Linked DNA regions of Alligator mississippiensis. The protein of the gene in region 3 binds, or shares a complex with, the protein of the main gene of each other region. Links are inferred from orthologs where the notes say so. Each region holds a gene or a part of one and is shown on either strand. Other genes may lie near its edges. The genes, in order: FAM8A1, HERPUD1 and OS9.

Region 1 (6,830 bases), on a different chromosome or scaffold from region 3:
AGCAGCATGCAGCCAGCAAGGAGCACAGCCCGGCAGCATCCAGCTGGTAAGTCTGCTGTGGGGAAGGGGTGCATGGGGGCGTGTTCCGCTGGCTCTGTGTGCGGAGGCGAACGGGCTGGGGTTGGGCTCTTCCCAGTGAGGGGCCTGGGCCAGGCTGTTCTTGGGGCGGGTGGCAGCACAGAGAGGGACTACAGCAAATTCTGGGGTGGCTGCAGCCCTCACCCCATAGCCCTGCTCAGCACTGCCACTGCCTACCCCAAAGCACAGCCCACCCCAACCCCCTGCTGGGAAAAGCCTGGTGCCACCCTGGCCCCAGCCCACAGCAGCAGCCTGCCCTTGCCCCCTGCATAGATCCAGGGACGCCCCCCCATGCCCTCCTGGGGTGCACACAGTGGCGGGAGCCGTCCCCCTTCTCCACACCCCCTAGACAAGCTGCTTGTGGCTTCATCATGTCCTCCTCCCCAGCTGGACAGCCCCAGCCCCAGCCCCACTCCTTCCCTCACCATGGGGGCCTCGATCTGCCCCCCCCCCAACAACAGACTTACCAGCTGGATGCTTCTCTCCAAGCTGCCAGGCCGCATATTAGCAATTGGATCGTATCAGCTAATACAGCTCCTTAAAAATCAGTCATTGGTATCAGCCCAAAAAATCTCTGTTGGTGCACCCTTAGAAAAATCCTAGAAGGTATGCATTTTGCCAGTAGCATATACAGAATAACTTGCCTGAAACTAATGAGCATCCTCCTAATTGAATTCTATTTAAGGACACACACACACACACACACACACCTGACAAGATATTTTATCAATCCAATGCTTGCAATGGTTTTATGCATGAGTGTCCATCTGTTCTGAAGGAGCCAAGGATGGCATTTACTATCCTTTACCTACCACCCCACCCCCCAAAAACATTTCACCACGGTAACCTCATTTACAGAAAGAAAGCTGCACAAGGCTTCTACTGAAGCTGCACAAACGCTGCTGTAAATATGTGCTGCGCTGAAGGAGTTCCTTGAAGCCTAAGGTGCTCAGTCTTTTTTTGTCTGCTCTTTCTTTTAAAAAGGCTAGTTTGTGACAGGAGAGTGAATGGATAAGGGCACCTTCTTATTAACATATCCCCTTCTTTGCATCTTTCTGCTAGCTCACTTAAAATTTTCAATAGCAATGCAGAATATCAAAATGGATTCAATTCCCATTTATGGGAAAGCTGTCAATAAAATTCCCATCACAGATCGTTTATCTAATGGTGAAGAGAACCGGAACAACCCAGCTAAGTATTCTGATCCCAGCTTGGCTGTGCATAGCCACTAGTTACAAATCATAAAGTTCCAAAGTGAGGCTATTTATTCAGTACGAAACAAACTAAAGTATTATTGTGACTACAGTCACAATAAAATTACACTCAAATTTGATGCTACAGAGACTTACAACTAAATAAGGAGGAAGATATGCATCCCAAAGAGACAGGGAGAATTCACCTGAGACTTATCAGTGTCTCAACTTAGTCTATGGCAGTAGTTCTCAACTCAGGTGGCCCAAGGCCCCCTAAGGGGTGCCATGACAGTGTTCCAAGTACCTGCAGCACCTGCAAGCAATCCTGCCTGCATTGGGGGGCTCTCTGATCAGCCTAAAGTGGGAAGGAGAGCTGGTTTGTGCTACAGCCCTTCCCAGTCTACCCCCTGCATGCTCCTCCCAGAAACAAAGACAGGCAGGACACTTCCACTTGCCCAAAATGCCTCTGTTTCCAGGAGATGCCATGCAGAGTTGCACCAGGACACGCTGTAGCACAAGCCAGCTATCCTGTATGCTTCAGGCTGATCAGAGAGCCCTAATGCAGGTGCTGCGGCTTTCCCTGACTGCCTGTACACAGAGTATTCTTACTGCTGAGGTAGCAACTTTCAGTCTGGAGGAGCCATGCAGCATAACTGACTTCTGTATGAATCTCCATCTGTCACTGAAACATTAAAATAACTGCATAAACTCTAAACAGATACAATTAGCTCACCGTCTAAACAGGCATTGCTTAGAGACACATTAATTCAGATTTAATAAGGATTTTTTTTAATTGGTCAAAGATCACTATAGTGGCTTTCAGAAAAATAAAAGACTGCACAGCGTGTCTTTTAACTCTTCAATGTCCACCTCCCCCTTTCAACGCAGGAAGGTTTTTTCATGGTCCCTCTATGCCTCTTCTAAGCACTGTCCATACAAAACAGATTGCAATAGTTCAGTGGTTCTCAACTGGGGATGCCTCCACATTCAAAAAAGTTGTGGACAAGTGCCTCCAAAGAACTTGTGCCCAATTCTAAAACCACTAAGATTCATTCATCTATGGCGCAGACTCTATCATGGGACTGCTACTGCCTTAACTCGAGTTTTACACACCCGGTGTAGACACTAATCTGGCCCCATGGGGCCAGTCCACAGGCCAGGCAGAACCCACAGACCAGCCCCGCATTCTGGATCTGGAGTGGGTCCTGTGTGTAGCATGGCTCTGCTCCAGCAACTCCGGAGCTGTGCAGCATGGCCCTGGAGCTGAGCAGGTACGGGACTGCATGCAACGTGGCCCCAGAACCCCACAGTGCTGCGCTGCCCGCAGCACCTGCTCCAGGATATGAGCTGGAACAGGCCACCCAGTGTGCTCTGCACGCTGCCTGTCGGTCACTCCAAGCCCCATAGGCAGCACCAGGGGTCAGATGATAGCTCCACAGGCAGATCCAGCCTACAGGCTGTGTATTTGACACCCAAGGGTTCTGATAACACTTTGCTGGCAAAACTGAGTCCATGCTGGATAGCCAAAGTTATGCTGACTACAGGGTGCAATCTTCTTGTATCCCATGCCAAACAGCTACTGCACAAAGCTATTGATTTCCTACATTCACCCATCCGGACTGTACAATTAATTGTGCTACACACTCTCCTTTGAGGAGAGCTGCCTACACTGCAGTGGAAATGCTCTTCTCTCATCAGGAAAGCTGTTTTCCATCGCTATCCTCGGTGAGCAAAGAAACATTCCCATTCCACTGAAACGTATTAGCAGGCAGTCAATTCCCTAGTGTCCTTGGCATAGTGGCTTGATCTACTATTATCTGAAGATGTGCATGACTGTCCAAGAGTGATTTTACTAAACCTTGTTCATACCACATTCTGGGACAATTAACAGCATTTGTTCTTAAGTGATCTAAACTTCAGAGTACGACTTCCCTTATTCCTTTTAAACCAAGCGCATATCTGTTCAGAGCTCACAACTGGGGGGAAAAAGTAAAATCTGGAAGCAATTAGATTTCACTCATTTTCGCTGGTTTTGTCCCCTTGACCTGCCATGCAGGTCCAAAGAGAAATTACTGATCTGCAGCATGGGGGTCACTCTAGAACGGCGGGTGTTGCCTGTTCAAGACCCAAAGGAGCCCTGCAAAGATTCAGGGCCCCCTCAAAAATGCCAACTCACCATTTTTTGACTACAGAAAAGCACTAGAGCCGTTCCGGTGCTGCGCAGCAAAATGGTGCTGACACCAGGGACGCCTGGCAGAAATCTCCAGGTCCGTCTTGTGACTCACGTGCATGGCGCTAACAGCGCACGGCACCCCCGCAAGGACCTCAGGGCAGCGTGGGGCAGAGCAGACAATCCCTGCTCTGGGCCGCTCAGCTTCCTGGGGTGCGCTCTGCCCCCTGGGGCCTGCTCCAAGGGCCCCCTCATTGTGATCTACTAGGCTGGGGGCTGACAGAAGTGCGCAGGGGCGGTCCCGTCCACCCGAGGCGCGGCTCACCTGCCGGGCGGGCGCTATCGCGCGGGGCGCTGCTGGCGCGGGGCGGGGCGGCGGGGCCGGGCCGGGGCAGCGGGGTGAGGCGGGCCGGGCCAGGCGCTGGCAGCACGTAGAAGGGGCTGTAGTAGGCGGCGGCGGCAGCGGCGGCTGCGGCGGGGCCCGCGCTGCAGGGCGCGGTGCCCGCGGCGGCAGCGGCGGCGGCCATGAGGGCGGGCAGGCCGCTGTGCCAGCTCACGTAGCCGCAGTACGAGTCCCACAGCCACTGGTGCACGCGCCGCGCGTACTCCGCCGCGCTCGGGGGCGGCGGCGGGCCTGTGCCCGGGCTGCTCCCCGCGCCCCCTTCCTCCTCCACCTCAGCCCCTGCCGCGGCCATGGCCGCGGGCTCCGGCTCCGCCATGGCCCCCGTCCGCTCCCTCCACACGCCCCTCCTCCACTGCGCATGCGCAGGCCGACAACCTCGCTCCGCTTCACCCACCTGCCAGGTGGGAGGGGGTAAGAGCAGGAGCGACCAACTGAGTGAGGAGGTGCGGGGGGAGGCAACACCGCTCCAGCGCGAGAGGATATCGCCCCCCGCCCCCACGGATACGGTATCGTCCTGTCACGCCAGCCCGAGGCTGGATGGAGCACAAGCAGTGGCGGGGAGGAGCTAGGCCGCGGGGGGCGGGGCTTCCGTTGCCAGGACGATCGGTGTGGCGCAGCTCGGTTCGTGGCACGGTGACGCCCTTGCTTCAGGGCTGCTGTCATGGCAACCGGCCCGGGGTTACCAAATATGGGCGGGGGAGGGGCGGGCGGCAGCTTGCAACCCATGCTGCCTCAGGTGGCGCTCGTCTGCCCAGAGTTTGATTTGCATGTCTCCCCTGGCGGGTAATACCGTAGCAGGCCAAGGGGTAATCCCGCAGTGCCATACTTGGAGTAATCCTGTTGTACCACAAGGCCATGCTCAGTGGTAATGGCTTCATTACCCACAGGCTTCCTGCCTGAGGAGGGGTTGGGAGTCCACCCTTGGGGATCTTTCCAAACACCCTGCAGGTGGCCTTGGAGAGCCCCAGTGGCTGCGTCACTACATGGAGGTTTTGATTCTCCAGCCAAATTTGCAAATATGTGAAGCTGGCAGGGGCACGCTGAAGGCCACTCACTTGCCCTGGGGGATGGAGCGCTGCTGGGCAGATGCTCACAGACCCTCCGGGTGTGCTGTGATCCACTTGAGGCTCAGGCACTGAGGGGTCCTGACGCTCTTCTCTGGAGCCTCCGCTGCTTCCAAGGAGCTGTAGCCGGTGGGTGAGGTCTGCTAGGTGAAAAGGGACTACAGGATCACATCACTAGGGTGGTTTGACCATAGCCCTTTAGACAGCCCCTTCCCTTCCAAGAATTTGCACTTCTTCTTCTTCCTGCCCTTTTCCCTCGGTGCTTCCCCAGTCACAGGAGACTTGTCACTCCCTGACTTGCCCATGTTGGCCCTTCACTCCAAACCAGATTGAACTCCTGCTCCTTTGAGGTTGACGTTTGGATCCTCTCTGCTGTTCTCTGCCTTTCTCCTACCTATGGGGTCTCTTTATCCTTGTCAATGCCCAGGAAAGGATCTATTCCCCAGCTCTGCATTACCAATATATCTCACGCTACATTTACTCTAATGACATCCAGTGTTCCTATCGACACTGGCTGTGCACCATGCCTTATCCATCCTGGCTCTGAAGGAGACCCTGCATCAGGAACCATTTGGTGGCTTCAGGTTCACAGTTGAGGAAAAACTGGTCTGAATCAGAGATACGAAACACACACAGGGTTAAAACACAAACATTTCTTATCCTGTCCAATTCAGAGTGTTGCCTCTGGACCATGCCCAGCTCCTTCCTGCTACATGCGGAGCTGGTAGGAAAGGTTACTCTCAAGGCAGGTCTTCTGTGGATGCAGAATTAGTCTTTACCTGTTTCTGACCTGCAGGACCTGGGCCTGAAATCAGAAGAGACCCTCGCTTCCTTGCCACCTCCACAAGGATGTGAGGTTCAGGGTGGTTTGTCCATTTACCCAAGCCTTACCTGCTCCCCCTCAGCTGAGTGATCTCTAGGACAAATCCTCCTCTGGACTGGCTTTGTTGTCCTTCTCCAGCTGCTGTCAGGCAATCACTATGAGGAACCAAAAGTGCCATGAAGTCTCACAAGTTTGCATGAAAAACTCAAGCACCCTGAGCCTGATTTAAACAGGGAAATGAATCCTGAAGTGAGGTGAGGAAGGATCTCATGTAAGCAGTACGCCTGTGTGTCAAGTGATGGAAATAGGCTACATGCTCAGGGGCGAGGCTGAGGTTGTGAAAACGTGGAGGAAAGAGGAGGAGGATTTTCTACGACAACCTCCATCATTTGGAGCTGTGACCCCTGTCGCTTAAGGTGTTCTCCTCGCCTGGTGCACACACTTGGCTGTCCTGTTTTTTTTTAAACAGGCCTGGAAAGCTCCGGTCCTGGTTCCTGCAGACCAAGGAAATGGAAACAGACTTTCTGCGGGGGCCACCTAGGCTGAGCATGGCTTGGTGATCCTCTTGCCTGGCTTTAAAAGCAACTAAAAAAAGGAGTAGGAAAAGGGACCAGCCAGTTGTCCAGGCCTTTCTTAAACTGTGATGTAAGGGGTGTTTTGCTGAGTAAAAACTGCAAGATGAGGTCCCAGTAAACCCCAAGGCCCCATGAGACTGTGAAGTTGGTGGAAATGTCATCAAGTCAGGTCATGGGGAACTGGTGCTGTCTTAGTCGGGGGGACACGTGCCCCCCTGCAACCAGTCTCGCAGCACAGGGTGTGGGGGTCCCCCCTGCAGCCAATATCGCTGCCCGGAGGGAAATCCCCCGTGGCCGATCGCTGCAGCCACTTCTGGGAGCAGCTGCAGTGATCGGTCACCGTGTGCAGGGGGGGCACTGTCACTCCTGCCTGCCCCCCTGCCCATCACTTAAGCAGTGAGCGCAGCCATCCAGGGTCTGCACCGGTGCAAACAGACCCCCTACACATTGCCACTGAGTCAGGTGAGGTGTCCCGGGGACCCGGCGCCCAGGAGCAGTCCAGCGCTGGGTCCCATGTGTCAGTG
Region 2 (6,830 bases), on a different chromosome or scaffold from region 3:
CTGGTATCTCCTGTGATCTTTGTGCACGCAATGGGTCAGCAGCAGTAGCAACCAAGCTGAAAGCAAGGTAAGAGGGGTGAGACTACTACAACTTGCAGTGTTTGGTAAAAGTTAGCATACTAACTTGTCAAGATGATTCCTATGAAGAAATCATCACACATTTAATTCTGAAGCCACAGGTTTGTGATCAGATCAGGTGACACAAAGCTAGCATTAGATCTGCTAGTGATTGGCTGTGTGGCTTTTGGCAAGTCAAAATTGACGCAAATGTCACCATCTTTAGCACTCTGTACTCAGTTTCAATTTCAGTACTCTACTGTTGTGAGAACTGCTCATAAACAGCTGAAGTGCTCAAGAGCCTCCCTCCCCACAATTCCCTTCAGGCTCTGCAGGTAAGCCTCACAGTTTATATAGCTTATTTGCAAGTTTTCAGTTAGCCCCCAACAGGTGGGGCTTATTTCCTCAGCAATAGACCAAGTCCGGTAAAAGTGGTAAAGATCTTTAGATGTACCCCTCCAATAGGCTCAACACCACTATAAATGGTTGCAAATTTTAACTTTTATTTAGACAAAAAGCAATAAGCATGACTAAACCAAATGGCATCTGGTGTTTATAGCTACATCAGACATTTGATTTGCCACAGATAAGGAAGATGCCTGTCAACTGGGGGAGAAACAGCACTAGTATCTTTCTAACCAACTGGTTCTCAACCTTTAGATTTAAAGACCCCTCTCAGAAGTGCCAGCTTACATTTTCACTTGTTTTTTGCCAACAGAACAATTCCCACATTACACAAAACTAAGAAAGATCACTACAGGGCAAAACGTGTTTGACATGAAGGATTTTTATTTGAAGTCTGTGGGTATATCATGTGAAACATGTTTGTACACTTAACTGCAGCACTCTTGAAAAGACAGACATACCAGAGTGCCCCAGCCCTGTGGCTGAAAATTACTATTCTAACCAGTTTTTAATATTTCAAAGCTAGTTCTGCAAAAGGAAAGAAAACTTACTATTGCATGTAGTACTGTCTTGCATAAATCTGCTGAAACCAAGAAATCTGAAGCATGCTGTAAGTAGTATAGGCAGAGAAGCCACGAGCTGTTTCAATCCTTATTCAAAAAGTTTAATAAAAAATTAGTTAAAAAACAAAACAAAACACCAAACAAACAACCCAGGACTGTCTTTCCCACCACTTCTACTTACAATACTGAAGATACATGCAAGCTGCTTTTGCCATTGTCTTGCTGATAGGTAAAGCAGCATATGGCACACACTTCCAATATGTTTTAAATTAATCTGGGCTTAAAAGACTGTACTTAACATTAAAAAGCTGAAGGCAGAAATCTAAAATTTCAGCCCTAAACTGTACTATTGCGAAATTAAAAGGAGAAAGTGGGGGGGGGGGGGAAAGAGACTTCTAAAAAGGAAAAGTACCACCTTTTTGATGACATTATTAGATATTAAGCTATTTTTCCCACTCAAGCTCTTTTTAAATGAAATGGGAATATGTAAGGACTAGAAGAAAAAAGCAAGCGCTCAATCTAAACTTCAGAGGCTCAGTCAAGTACTGGAGTGCAGTGGATACCAGGTTTATGCTTCTGTGAAAACATTATAAAAAGCATTTCTATTTTTCCATATCTAACAAGAAAGGACAGTAACATCCAACTCAAGAGGGAACAATGTTTTAACCTCTTTGGCACCCACCCACTTAAAAGTTCCAAAGCAGTAGCTTAAGGTGCTGACATCCAAGAGTCTGTTCAGAAACAGACGTATAACTTTATATCTCAGCATTTTAGAAGGCATGTCTTCATATGAAGCACATTTACCTTGTATTGGTTTCCACTGTAGGTTGGTTGCAGGGAGCATCCCTGTGTCTTGCCCCATCAGTTGAAGCTACAGAAGGATCTTGACCAATTTCTGACAATGCTTTTGGCTGTTTAGTTTCAATGTAAAGCAACAGTTAGTAGTGGTTGGCTCAAGACAATGAATGAAAATTATCTTACCTTTGAATCAGATATTTTATCTTAAAATAACACATTCCCCAAAATATTTCACTGGAACTGTGCGCGCATGTGCCTTGCAGAGAGCGCCAGTCCTGAACAGGGCCTTTGGAAGCTACTGCCATATCAATTATGAACCACAATCAAAACAAACAATATTTCTAGAATTGTTTTGTTCCTAAAACACCTTGAGAGGTGGCCTGCATATGGAACAATGGCAATAGTGTCATTTGTTTTGAGAAAGTGAACTCTTTAAATATGTAGGAGCTTAAGGCCATAGTGCAGAAAACGGAGTAAAAAGCACTCATAATAGCAGCAGTTCCACCATTCTGGGAAACCAAACTTTTTATTTTTTTTTTTAAACACATGACATGTTTTAAGTCCTGTTCCAACAGGAAGCGATGAAGAACTACAGCTCCTCTCAGTAGATGTTGCAAAGTTACATTATGGTATAAAATCTTTGTGCTTGTATATATTTGGAAGTTTTACTGCTTTAACTATACTGGTTAAAGCAATATGCTAGTGGTTACATATACTAGCATAATTAAAGCAATAACCTGTCTAGTACAGGCAGAGCCACAGCAGTATGAAGGCTTTATAATACTATAGTTTAGGTCACTACATGTAAAGTGTAACAGCCTCTAAAGCATATGATGAACAGATTTAGCCAACGAATGCTAACTGTAAGTAAAAGCAGAAAGATCACAAGATCAGTTTTTACAAAGCCTTCCCCGATCACATTTAAAAACAAAAAATAATTGCTTGTCTTAATTTTAAAAGGTTCAATTTTTTAAAGTGTGTATCAATTTGCCATTTGATAAATGCTGTCTCAAATACTAGACAGAGGCTACCAGCATGGGGTGATGGCGATGCAAGTTGCCTTGAAGTGCTAGGACAATACATGTTTATCAAATACAAAGCCACATCTTTTTCAGTTGTTTTCTGCCACAGATGACACAAAAACAAAAACAGTCTATTGTTTGCTCATGACTTCAAGGATGTAATTTTTTTGCCTTTGAGATTATAAATCGCTAGTGTTAATCACACCAGCAAACCCTCATACAGAAACTGAGATCTGTGTCATAGTTTAAGCACACTTAAAAAAAAAAAAAGTGTATTAAGTTTGGTTTATTTCCAGTTTCTTCCTCCAGAGGCTTTTTAAGTTTTATTACTGATGAATATTTGGGCAACAATCCAGGAAGAGCCTAAAAGATGCCACCCCATTTAATTGTTGACAGATTCTCTTTCTTTATACGAATGAGACTTGATTATCATGGAAAACATACACATTCAAGACAACCGCTCCCTTTGCAAACAGCACAGCCCTCATGACCAAGCTCACTGGCTCAACCAGGGAAAGAGGAACTACAACAGTTGTACGGTACTAAATGTCTTTCCTCGTCAGTAGGTCAAGTATTACCCTGACCACCAGGTCAAGACAGACCACTAACCAGGCTGGACACAACATGCAATGGCCGTAACCTGGTTCAAGATGTTTCAGCTCCAAAACAAGCCATTACAAATGCTTACTCCAAATATGTAGCTGTTGTCTCACCCCTAGTACTAGCATAACAGCTACCCTATGAAGCAATGCTGCCCCTGCATTTACATGACGTGGGTCAACCTTTTTTCAGAAATAATTCTGCTTTGAAGTCATAAATCCCAAATTTGCAGAGTGTGTCCACACCCAGAAAAGCAAAAGTAGACTGATGTATTAATTTAACATACCATTGAACTGGTTTCTTGCACTTCTAAATGGCTCTTAGAGTTGTACACCAGGTGAAGAACACACAACTTCTCCTGCTAAAAACAGAAATCAAGGCATTAAAACGATAACATATTCCTATGTCATTTAATTTGTGCAACTATCAGAAGCAAGCAATTGCCATACCATAGGCAATACATCTCTCAGATAAAGATGATCAGGCAGCAACTTCCCCAAATAAATCAACTTCTGGTCCTCTTCAGGCTTTGAAAGAAGACAAAAAATATGTTGGGTTACTATTCTCTCAAATGCATGCAAATGCTGAGCAGCCAGGCATGACAGCAGCTGGCATACCAAAAAAGAAACAACAAAAAACACACCCAGCATAAATACATCCAAATCCTTTGAACACAATTCTCTTTTGTTTTTAGCATGGGATGATGCAACCAAACCCGCTGATTATTTATGTGCAAAATTGATGTCAGAGATTCAGAAACTCGCACAGAAACATAGCAACTCCTACAAAACAGGAATGAGTTGTCCGTCCATCGGGTGGGCCAGAAACCTGACAGGAGGACTTTCTCTTCCGTCTGAGGAGCAGAGGGATCCCGTGTGCCCGCAGCTTTCCCAGCCGCAGCAAAGGGATTCGCACCTTGTCTTCTGCCCGCCCCTTTCCCAGAAGCCCAGCACGGACGCACAGGCTTCAACGCCCAAAGTCCTCCCCTGCTGAGCACCGACACCCCTCGGCCACACGGACGAGCCGGCGCCCCGCCACGCCCGGCTCAAACCTCCACAAACCCCAGGAAAACCCGCTGCAGCACTTCAAGTAACCGGGGCCGCCCGGCCCCGGCCCCGGCCCCGGCCCCTCCCTCCCTCACCGGCGCCTCGGGAAGCAGGCGGCGCAGCCGGGCCTTGAGCTGCCGCACGGTGCCGGCGGGCTCGGCGCGCAGGCTCAGGTCCGGGTGCCGCCCCGCGGGGCTCCGCACCAGCAACGACGCAGGTTCCTCCATGGCCGCTCTCCGCCTCGCGCCCGCGCTCCCCGTGGCGCCGCCTTTTATCTCCTCGCCGCCTCGCGCCCCGCCCCCTGCGCCAGCCGGGACGCGGTGGCTGCCACTGATTGGCCGCGGAAAGAGAGCGTGTCACTAGATGGCCTATCAGAAGCGACATCCGGCTACAGAGTGACAGGGGCGGGGCTGACCCGTGTCAGGAGGCAGGAGGTGGCGGGGCGGGAGCGGGGGGTGCTGTGCGGGGTGTCCCGGGCTGGGGCAGCGCCGTGCCGCTCCTAGCTTGTTTCCTCAGGAGCAGGCACGGGATCGGGCGGCTGCAAAGTGTGGGGTTTCCTGCTTCGCAGCCCCCGGCAGCTGAGAGGGAAATGCTTTGGAGCAGTGGGTCTAAGCACAAAAGGGCCTGATCGCTCAGCCCCTGGCTCTGTGACACTGAATTATAAGACTATAGTAATACAATTAGAAGTCAAATAGCTGGGAGAAAAGAATTGGGTTCTAAGTAAATTATTTCTCTACTAATGATCTAATTGAGTATGGCCGTAGCACCACGATATGTGTCCCGTTGGAATACGTATTGTGTGAACATAAAGAGACCACCCTTGTTCAAAGATGGTAGGCTAAGACAAGAGACAATGGGAAAACGAATAAATAGTTGCAAAGGGAATCCTGAAAATTCAGAGGCAAAGATTAGCTGTCTCCAATATGCTCTGACCCTGAAAAATAGCTGAACAAGGCTCTGACTGCTTCCAGGTTGGATATATTACAAGTTGAGAAAAATCGCCCCTCCAAAGAACAGATCAGATCGGATCTGTACATCAGTGTGAGACACCCCCCCCACCCATTAATAAGCTTTCTTATATTAGGAATATGGAAACACTTTCTGAAATTGTATTGAAACTCTTATATTGTTAAATCAAAGACAACAGGTGATATTCCATTTCAGAACTGTTTCCTGTTTAAGGCACAGTTAATTTTTATATCTGTTCTTACAGACAGTGTTTGGTGATAACAGAATGTTATAAGTCTTGAGTTAGCCTTTAACACTAAATACTAATTATTCAGCTTCCGTGGACCTGTAGTAAATGCAAGATATTCCTTTTAGAAAAAGAAGTATCCCAATTGCTATGGAGTAGAAATCTTGAGCTTTTACTGGAGCCCTGTGTAGCAATACAGCAGCCCTTCATAGCAAGCAAACAATCAGTTGTCAGTTCATATTTCTTTTTATTCATCTGTAACTTTAAACAGAATAAATCACATTTTCAGAAGTGTCTGTAGCCTGAGTTACACTTTCAAAAATGCTGTAGGCACTTAAGTGCTTAATTCTCAATGTCTTTCAGTGAAATTTAGGCTCTTTCTTCTCTTAAAAATATAACTGCAGGGCTGTTGAAAATTTTACCCAAGTTTACAAACAGAAAAGAACATACTGTCAATGATAAAGAAAGCAAAGAATGGATCATACTGGCAGGAGGCATTCCTACCAATAAAAAAATCAAGAAAGCATCCTTGGTGTGAATCTACTGAGCACAGAGTCATTCTTATTCCTTATCCTTGTTCAGTTTTCTCATGCAGGAGCATATCCATATTAATCAGATGTAAATTATCCATGTTCCTGAGTTCCATCCTTTATATTTTTATCCTGGAACCAGGCAATTCAGTATAGAAAGCATCAGAACACAATAGAATGGCTCAAAGCAGTTATAGACCATTCTCAAGGGAACATAGTTATAGGACTCTTATGCACAAATTAAATAGCCAGCTACCTACCCATCTCTCTAGGTGCTTGTGTTTTCATTGTATCTGAGCACTTTTGGCTGTTGGGCAGCTCCCACAGATATCAATAGAAGTGCTTAAGACCTGATCACCTGTATTCTGTTAGGTTTTCTCAACTGATCCACATGTGTATTAGAAGCTGCTTTTGTTTTGAACAGGCTAGTTCATGAAGGCAATGCTATTGGCCTCAATGACAGGGATCACCTATGCTGTGTAGCTATTTGCTTCTTCAGAGGTTGGTCAGAAAGGGAATTCTCTTCTGATTTTCCACAGCACTAGGAATTAAAACTGGGAGTGCAACAATTAATTAGCATTAAGTTTAGAACCCAGGACTGCCTTGAGGTCCCC
Region 3 (6,830 bases):
CAACACAACATGGTGGGGGCACGGCTGGGGTCACATGCCACCAACACCTTTGCAGCCAAGGCTGCTTAACCCCATGCTGCCCAGCCAGGGCTTTGCCCCCCCCATACCTGGCTGGACACAGACACACAGTGCCCCCTGCTGGCCCTGCCAGGAAGGAAGCAGGAGCCAGGACAGGAGTCAAGGGCACCCAGAGGATGGGCAAGGCACAGCACCCATGGCCCATGTACCTTGGTGGGGTCCAACGGGTCATCTGCTGTGGGTGGGGGGTCTCGGGGGCCAGCATTCTCTGCCGGGCTGGGAGCAGAGGGCTCACCTGGAACCAGACAGAGCAGTGCTGAGCGTGGCGCTGGGAGTAGGGGGGCCGTGCCCGCAGCTGCAGCCCCATCCCTACCTGGCACCTCCAGCCAAGCCTCCCACCCCCACTCAGGGAGAGAACCTGCCCCGCCCCCCCACCATAGTGAGTGCCTCCAGGTGGGTGTGGGTGTCCTTAAAGGGGCAGCGCCCCATTTGCAACCCAAGGATGCTCTCCAAGTGGCCTACACAAGCCAAGGCTCTTCCCCATCCCACACAGCTGAGGAACCCAGGAGTCCGACTGCCGTACCATCGAGGGAAGGGTCTTCCCTGGGTGGGGGCTTGGCCGGGCTGGGGTCCTGCTCACTCCAGAGCCGTGTGTCCAGCGTCCGTAGCTCCTCCGAGATCTCCTCCACCTTGCGCTTAGTGTCAGCTGAGGGAGGCCGAGGGCAGAGATCACACATGGGTGGGGGGGCAACCAGGCCCTGCCATCCGTATTGCCCCCCTCCCCCAGTCCGGATACTCACAGACTTGGGCCTGGACATACTGGAGGTACTGGGCAGGGCTTAGCGCAGGCTGGCAGCGGATGGGCTGGGGTGTGGCAGCTGCGGGTGGGCGTAGGAAGGGGTGGTGGCAGATGCGGGTCGTGTGCACTGTCAGCACATAGGAGCACGACTGTGGCTCATCCACCCGCGCGATGTAGTCACCCGAGCCCTCCTCGCACAGGAACTGGGGGGGAGGTGCAGGGGACATTAGTGTGGCCAGATCCCCCTACCCCCCAGGACCCCCCCCAACAAAGCACCCAGCCCCCCCCCCCCCCCCAATGCCTCCTCTAGCCAGAGCCCCTCACCCCCAATGATAACCCCTGCCCAGAGCTCCCTGGCCCACCCCTCCCCTCCCCTCCAGCCAGAGGCCCCCCACAAGCCCCTTCCCAGCCAGAGCCTCCCTGAGCCCTTTTCTAGCCAGATACCCCCACCTCGCAGGGTGTAATGACTCCTGGCAGCTAATTAGCACCCCCCACCCAATCACCACCCCTATGCCCACCCCAGAGGCCAGGAAAGCAGCACTGGGGGAGGACGCTGCCAACCAGCCAGGCAGTGAAAAGCCAGACCCTACCCCCCACAGCTGTTCCCCACCTTACCCGGACCTCAGCCTCTCTGGCGCGACCATTGAGGTCACACTTGGAGCCGTTGACGTAGGTCTGGCTATGATAGCGCTTGAGACGGTGCTGCTTCGAGGCCTGGGGGTGGGAAACCACAAGTCACTTCCTGCTTCAGGTGGAGAAACTGAGGCACACAGGTCACGGAAGAACCATAGAAAGTACATAGGTTCTGCTGCCAGAAAGCCAGGCCCTGCCGCCACTCACGAGCCAGCCTGTCCAGTCCCCCCAAGCCCACAGGAGACCCCAGCCCCCACTTTGCCCCAAAGAGCCCAGCCCCTGCTGATGCCTTCCCCTCATCCCACAGAAGCCCACCCCCCCATAACCCCCTATGCCCCGCACCTTGGCAGTCTCATTGTCCCAGTCAAAGGCAGATTGATAGTAGCCCAGGTACAGGACATCCCCCTTGATCTCCGACTCTACAGAGCCAAGGGCAAACAGTTACAGCCCGCACACCTGCGTGCGTGCAGCACCAGCATGCACGTGCATGCAGGGACACGGGTATTGGCAAGCCAGGCTCAGCTCTGTTATGACACTCGGGGATCCCTCATCCCATCTGGGCAAGGGAAGGGGAACATTAAATAAAGTGCGTGTAGGGGTGGAAACTGGCCACACAGGGCAGGGACACACGCATGTATGCACATACATGTTGCTGGGCCGGCAACATAACCCTAGCAGGAGTGTGGCCGGCCCGTGGTACCTTCAATGTGGTACTGCTGGATGTGCCTCCCGTAGCAGAACTCATATGTCCACCAGTCCTTGGTCTGGGGGAGGGAAGGTGGGTAACACGTGTGACTCCGGGCCCCCTCCAGTCACACATCACCCACCCCCCTCTCTGAGCCTGCCACGGCCTGCCTGAGCCTCGAACCAGTGGGCGCAAAGGGGGGGGGGGGCGACCCCCACCCGCTCCCCAGCAGGCTTTGTGGTGGGCACCTCCCATCCCACGTCCAGCCTCCGGTGCAGGCAGGTGCCTTACCTTACGGAGACAGGGCGCAGCACCCATGGGCCGCAGCAGCTCCATGATGCCCAGCCCGCTGTAACCCCGGGGGTCATCTTCAGGCTCCCGGTGGATCTTGATGGCAGCCGGCGGCAGGCGGCATTCGTACTTCTGCTTGTACTTGGAGGAGATGGTCACCACGTCCTCGGCCCGGCTCTGGGGGAGTGGGATACAGGGCCATCAGGGTTCTCCTGGGCTCTGTGTCCAGCCACCGGCACCAGGACCAGGGCAAAGGGCACCATTGGCTCCTCCCTGGCCCATCTGACCCATGACCCTCATCAGCAGTTTGCTCGTAGCCTCATGCAGCAACCCTGGCTTCCCATGCTGCTGCCCCCATCCCTCTTGTACAACCCGGCCCAGAAGTGCAGCCACTTCTGGGGTGAAGCTCCAGGGGCAGAGCACAGGCCGGCCACCAAACCTGACGCGGCAACCTCAAAAGTCTTGCTTCTGCTTTCTAGAAAGATTTGCCTACAGAGCACCGCGATCAGATGACTTTAGGAAGGAGGAAGCAGGGGCCAGCAAGATACCGTTATCTCCAAACCCAGGCACAGTTCACCTTCTCTACCCTGCGCTTCCCCATCCGGACCCAGGCAGCCAGAGCCGCCAGCAACAGTCGCTGTTGGTGCCCAGCCCAGCTGGGGGTTTGCGCCCTGCCCTGCCACAGCCAAACAGGAGGTAAGGGACAGGGGGCACGGCACGTGGGGAAACAGAGGCACGAGGTGGGGGGGTTAGTGAGACCTAGGGTGGGCTCGGGAAGCAGCTAGTGATGGGTGCCCCCACCCCAGGGCACAGGGGAGACGGGGTGATGGGAGGTGCTGGGACCAGGTCAGGATGAAGCCCCCTCAGGGAGTGCCAGGGTTTCATAGACGGTAGGGGCTGGAAGGGACCTAGCAGGTCATCGGGTCCAGCCCCCCCCCCCCCGCTCTAGGCAGGAAGACGACTGAAGTTAGATAGACCGCAACCAGGTCCAGTCTCCTCTTGAAAGCCTCCAGGGTAGGCGACTGCATCACCTCTGGAGGAAGCTTATTCCTCAGTCGGGACTCCCTGACCGTGAAGTTTTCCCTGGAATTAAGCCTGAAGCGGTCTGCCGGGAATTTGTATCCAGTGGTCCTGCCCTTCCCCGCGCTGCCCTAGCGCACAGCTGTTCACCCAGCTCCCCACGCACTCCTCCTCCCGGAGAGCGGCAAGCCGCTATCAGGTCCCCTCGGCCGTCTCTTCTTCGGGCTACAGACGCCCGGGTCCCTCAGCCTCTCCTGGCGCGTCCCCGACCAGGCGGGTGGCTCTTCTCTGCACCCGCTCCGGTTTGCCCACGTTGAAGCGCGGCGCCCAGAATTGGACGCTGCCCTCCCGCTGCGGCCTCACCAGCGCCGAGCACAGCGGGGGGGGGGGCCCTCGGGCAGTCTGACACGGGGGGGGGGGGCGTGTCCCGGGGGGGGCGCCCACCTCCCCCACAACCCTAGCCCGGCCCCTTGGTCCCACCTGCCCGGCCAGCACGGGCTCGGCCGCGATCTCGATGCCGTACTTGAGGTCGCTGAGCTCCTGCAGGTTGAGCGCGGCCCCGGCGCGGCCCGGGCCCAGCAGCGCCAAGGCCAACGCCGGGAGCAGCACCCACCGCGCCGCCATCTTGCTCCCTCCCTCCTACCCGCCGCCGCCGCTGCTTCCGCCCGTCCCCGCAGGGCCTCGCGCCGCCTCTCCCGCGCCGCCGCGGAGCGCCGTGCGATTGGGTCTCTCTCCCTGCCAATCACCGCTGCCGCTTTTTCATTGGCCGCCAGCTAAGAGCGCGTGAGGCCGGACAGGGACTGTCACCCGGGAGGCTGGGATTGGTCCGCGTCTACCCTCGCAGCGGCAAGGAGGAGCTAGTGGCGTGATTCTGAGCGCTTTTAAAGGGCCAGCGGCATCAGGGAGCCGAGTCCCTGGCGGCCGCTCTGCGGCCGCGGGAAGGAGGGGATTGGTTGAACGAGATCACATGACCCAAAGGAGCTGTCACCGTGCTCAAGGGCTGGGACGAGGCACGTGGGCGGGGCCCTGGGGCAGAGGGCGATGGCCGGCTTGCATTCAGCCTGGGGCTGGGGCTGGGGGGCCACCAGCTGAGATGGAGAGGGGGTCTCTGGGTCCCCCAATGCCCTCTGACCTGACTCAGGGGTGGGATCCTGCTCCGGGGCAGTGGTGCTAGGGCAGCAGCCCTGGGGTAGGGGGGTGATGGCAGGCCTGAATCCAGCCTAGGGCGGGTGGCCCACCAGCTGAGATGGGGAGGGGGTCTCTGGGCCCCCCAATGCCCTCTGACCTGACCCAGAGGTGGGATCCTGCTCCGGGGTGGTGGCGCTGGGGGCAGCAACCCTGGGACAGGCTGGGCAGAGGCCAGGCGAGGCAGCTGGTTACTTCCTCCACAACTGCATGCTTGCTCGCATGCCAAAAAAAGAAGCAGCCAGACCAGGGAGGAAACACGGCCTGCTGAGCACACCTCACCATGGCCCCAGCCCGCTGTACCCAGAGGAAGGGCGAAGGCCGGCCAGGGCCCATCTCACCTGGGATCGGCCTCCGGGTCGTGGGGGGAACCCCCCACCCACACCCAGCGCCACCCCCTTGCCCTGGGCATGGGGTCACTGCGGATCCCAGAGTGCCCGAGGCCACGTGCTCACTCCTGGCCTGGCCACCCGGCTTCAGGGATGTAGCAGCTCCGCACTGCCGGCCTGGTAACTGGAGCTAACCCTGCTCCTGTCAGAGCCATCCATTAGGAGCAGCAAATTAAAAGCTTTTTTCTATGTAATGAATAGAAGATGCGGTTAGGGTCAGGGCCCGGGTGATGCCCTCACCTGCTGCTTCCCAGGCCCCAGATTTGTGGGCACCAGCTGGGCACCAAAGCTGTGGCTGAGCTGGGTACCCCAAGGCTCACGGGCCAGGCCCAGGGGAGCTCCCCTTTCTCCTTCATTCAGCAATAGGAAGGGAAATTCCTTCCCGCTGGTCCACCCCAGAGCTAGCCGCATTAGCAAAGCCTGGCCCCCGGTTCAATGCTAGGAGGATACATGGAGGGTTAAAGCCGGGTGTTCTCCACTCCAGAGACACCCGCCGCACAGCCTGGGCCCAGCCCAGGGAGCAGCCACCCACCCCCGGGAGCACAATGAACCCCTTTGTGCCCAGCCCCAGGGCCACTCGGCACGGACACAACGAGGGGGATTGTTATCTGGGGAGAACATCTGCATCCAGGCCCGGGCTCCCCTGCGGCTCTTGCCTGCCCGCGGCCTGCCAAGCCCCGCCTGGCACCCTGCCCGGCTTAAACACCCGGGCTCAATCCCAGCTAGTTATGAGACTGCGGTGGATCAGGGCCTCTGGGAGTGGATGGAGGGGAGCGAGCAGGGGAGGCCCCCGGGGCAGGGGAATCAGCCCCATCCCTGGCAAGGAGCCTAGGAGGTCTCAGCCCTGGGCCTTGCCCTGCCCTGCTCCTCCAGGCACCCATCCTGCTGCATGCCTCAGTTTCCCCACTTGGGACAGCTGCATTACACATCCCTGCATCCCGCTGTGTCCTCCCCAGCTGGGAGCTGACACGAGCCCCTACTTGGGGGTCCTGACAATATCTCCCCCCACCTCCAGCTACAGAGAGGGGCCACGCAGACCCTCGGGACACCTGGTCCCACTCCCAGCTCAGCACCCGCCCAGGGGATATTGTCTGTGCAGGGCCTGGCGCTGCACCCCTGGCTGGGGGCAATGCACCTAATAATACCCCAGCCCCCCCACCCCCCGGGGTGGACTCCCCCCTCCCCACCCTCTGGGAGCTCCTGGGGGGCCCCGATCCTGGGCACTGCCAAGCAGGGGGGCAAAGGGGGGGTGTCCCAAAATAGCCCCTCCTCCTCCCTTTGTGCGGGGATCCCTTTGTCTGAGCCCAGGAAGCCCCCCCCCCCGGACCCCCGGAGCCAGGCAGGGGCTGGGGGGGGCGGGGACCCGCAGTCAGTCCCGCCGGGGGCCGCCAGGGGCGCCGCCGGTCCCCGGCCGGGGCCGCGCATCCTGCATCCCTCCCGCATCCCGCATCCTGCATCCCGCCCGCGCCGGGCCCCGCCGGGAGGATGTGAGCGAGCCCGGGCGAGCCCCTCCGCAGGGCACAGGTAGGGCGCGGGCAGCGCGCCGGGGGGCTGCGGTATTGCCCCCCCCCCACATGCCTGGCATGGGGCAGGGAGGGGTGGCAGCACTGGGGGGGCTGGATTGGGTCCTACCTGCCCCCCCCCCCCCGGCCTTGCACTGGAGCCAGACAATAGCAGATCCCCCCGTACCCTCTCCTGGCACCCCCCCCCCCCCACACACACACACATAGTGGAATCGGGGGGGGGGGGCTTGCTGGGTACTCTGCCCTCCCCCTCCCCAAAGCCTGGCAGGGGGCAGGGGTGGTAGCAG

The links.
Region 1: OS9 (region 3) and FAM8A1 share a complex: the UniProt entries of both Homo sapiens proteins name them as parts of the HRD1 complex. The link is inferred for Alligator mississippiensis from reciprocal best matches to the Homo sapiens genes OS9 and FAM8A1.
Region 2: OS9 (region 3) and HERPUD1 share a complex: the UniProt entries of both Homo sapiens proteins name them as parts of the HRD1 complex. The link is inferred for Alligator mississippiensis from reciprocal best matches to the Homo sapiens genes OS9 and HERPUD1.

What each region holds. Positions count from the first base shown.
Region 1 is NC_081826.1:130,845,359-130,852,188, reverse strand, and holds the start of FAM8A1 (protein FAM8A1), read right to left. Parts: upstream 4,176-6,830; 5' UTR 4,161-4,175; coding exon 3,767-4,160; intron 1-3,766. UniProt on the Homo sapiens protein: Plays a role in the assembly of the HRD1 complex, a complex involved in the ubiquitin-proteasome-dependent process of ER-associated degradation (ERAD).
Region 2 is NC_081833.1:36,702,376-36,709,205, reverse strand, and holds the start of HERPUD1 (homocysteine-responsive endoplasmic reticulum-resident ubiquitin-like domain member 1 protein), read right to left. Parts: upstream 4,747-6,830; 5' UTR 4,719-4,746; coding exon 4,587-4,718; intron 4,379-4,586; exon of another isoform or gene 4,143-4,378; coding exon of another isoform or gene 4,089-4,142; intron 3,973-4,088; coding exon 3,895-3,972; intron 3,807-3,894; coding exon 3,732-3,806; intron 1,937-3,731; coding exon 1,830-1,936; intron 1,113-1,829; coding exon 1,014-1,112; intron 57-1,013; coding exon 1-56. UniProt on the Homo sapiens protein: Component of the endoplasmic reticulum quality control (ERQC) system also called ER-associated degradation (ERAD) involved in ubiquitin-dependent degradation of misfolded endoplasmic reticulum proteins.
Region 3 is NC_081838.1:7,432,069-7,438,898, reverse strand, and holds the start of OS9 (protein OS-9), read right to left. Parts: upstream 4,108-6,830; 5' UTR 4,071-4,107; coding exon 3,927-4,070; intron 2,604-3,926; coding exon 2,427-2,603; intron 2,215-2,426; coding exon 2,151-2,214; intron 1,870-2,150; coding exon 1,793-1,869; intron 1,532-1,792; coding exon 1,433-1,531; intron 1,021-1,432; coding exon 819-1,020; intron 725-818; coding exon 602-724; intron 314-601; coding exon 228-313; intron 1-227. UniProt on the Homo sapiens protein: Lectin component of the HRD1 complex, which functions in endoplasmic reticulum (ER) quality control and ER-associated degradation (ERAD).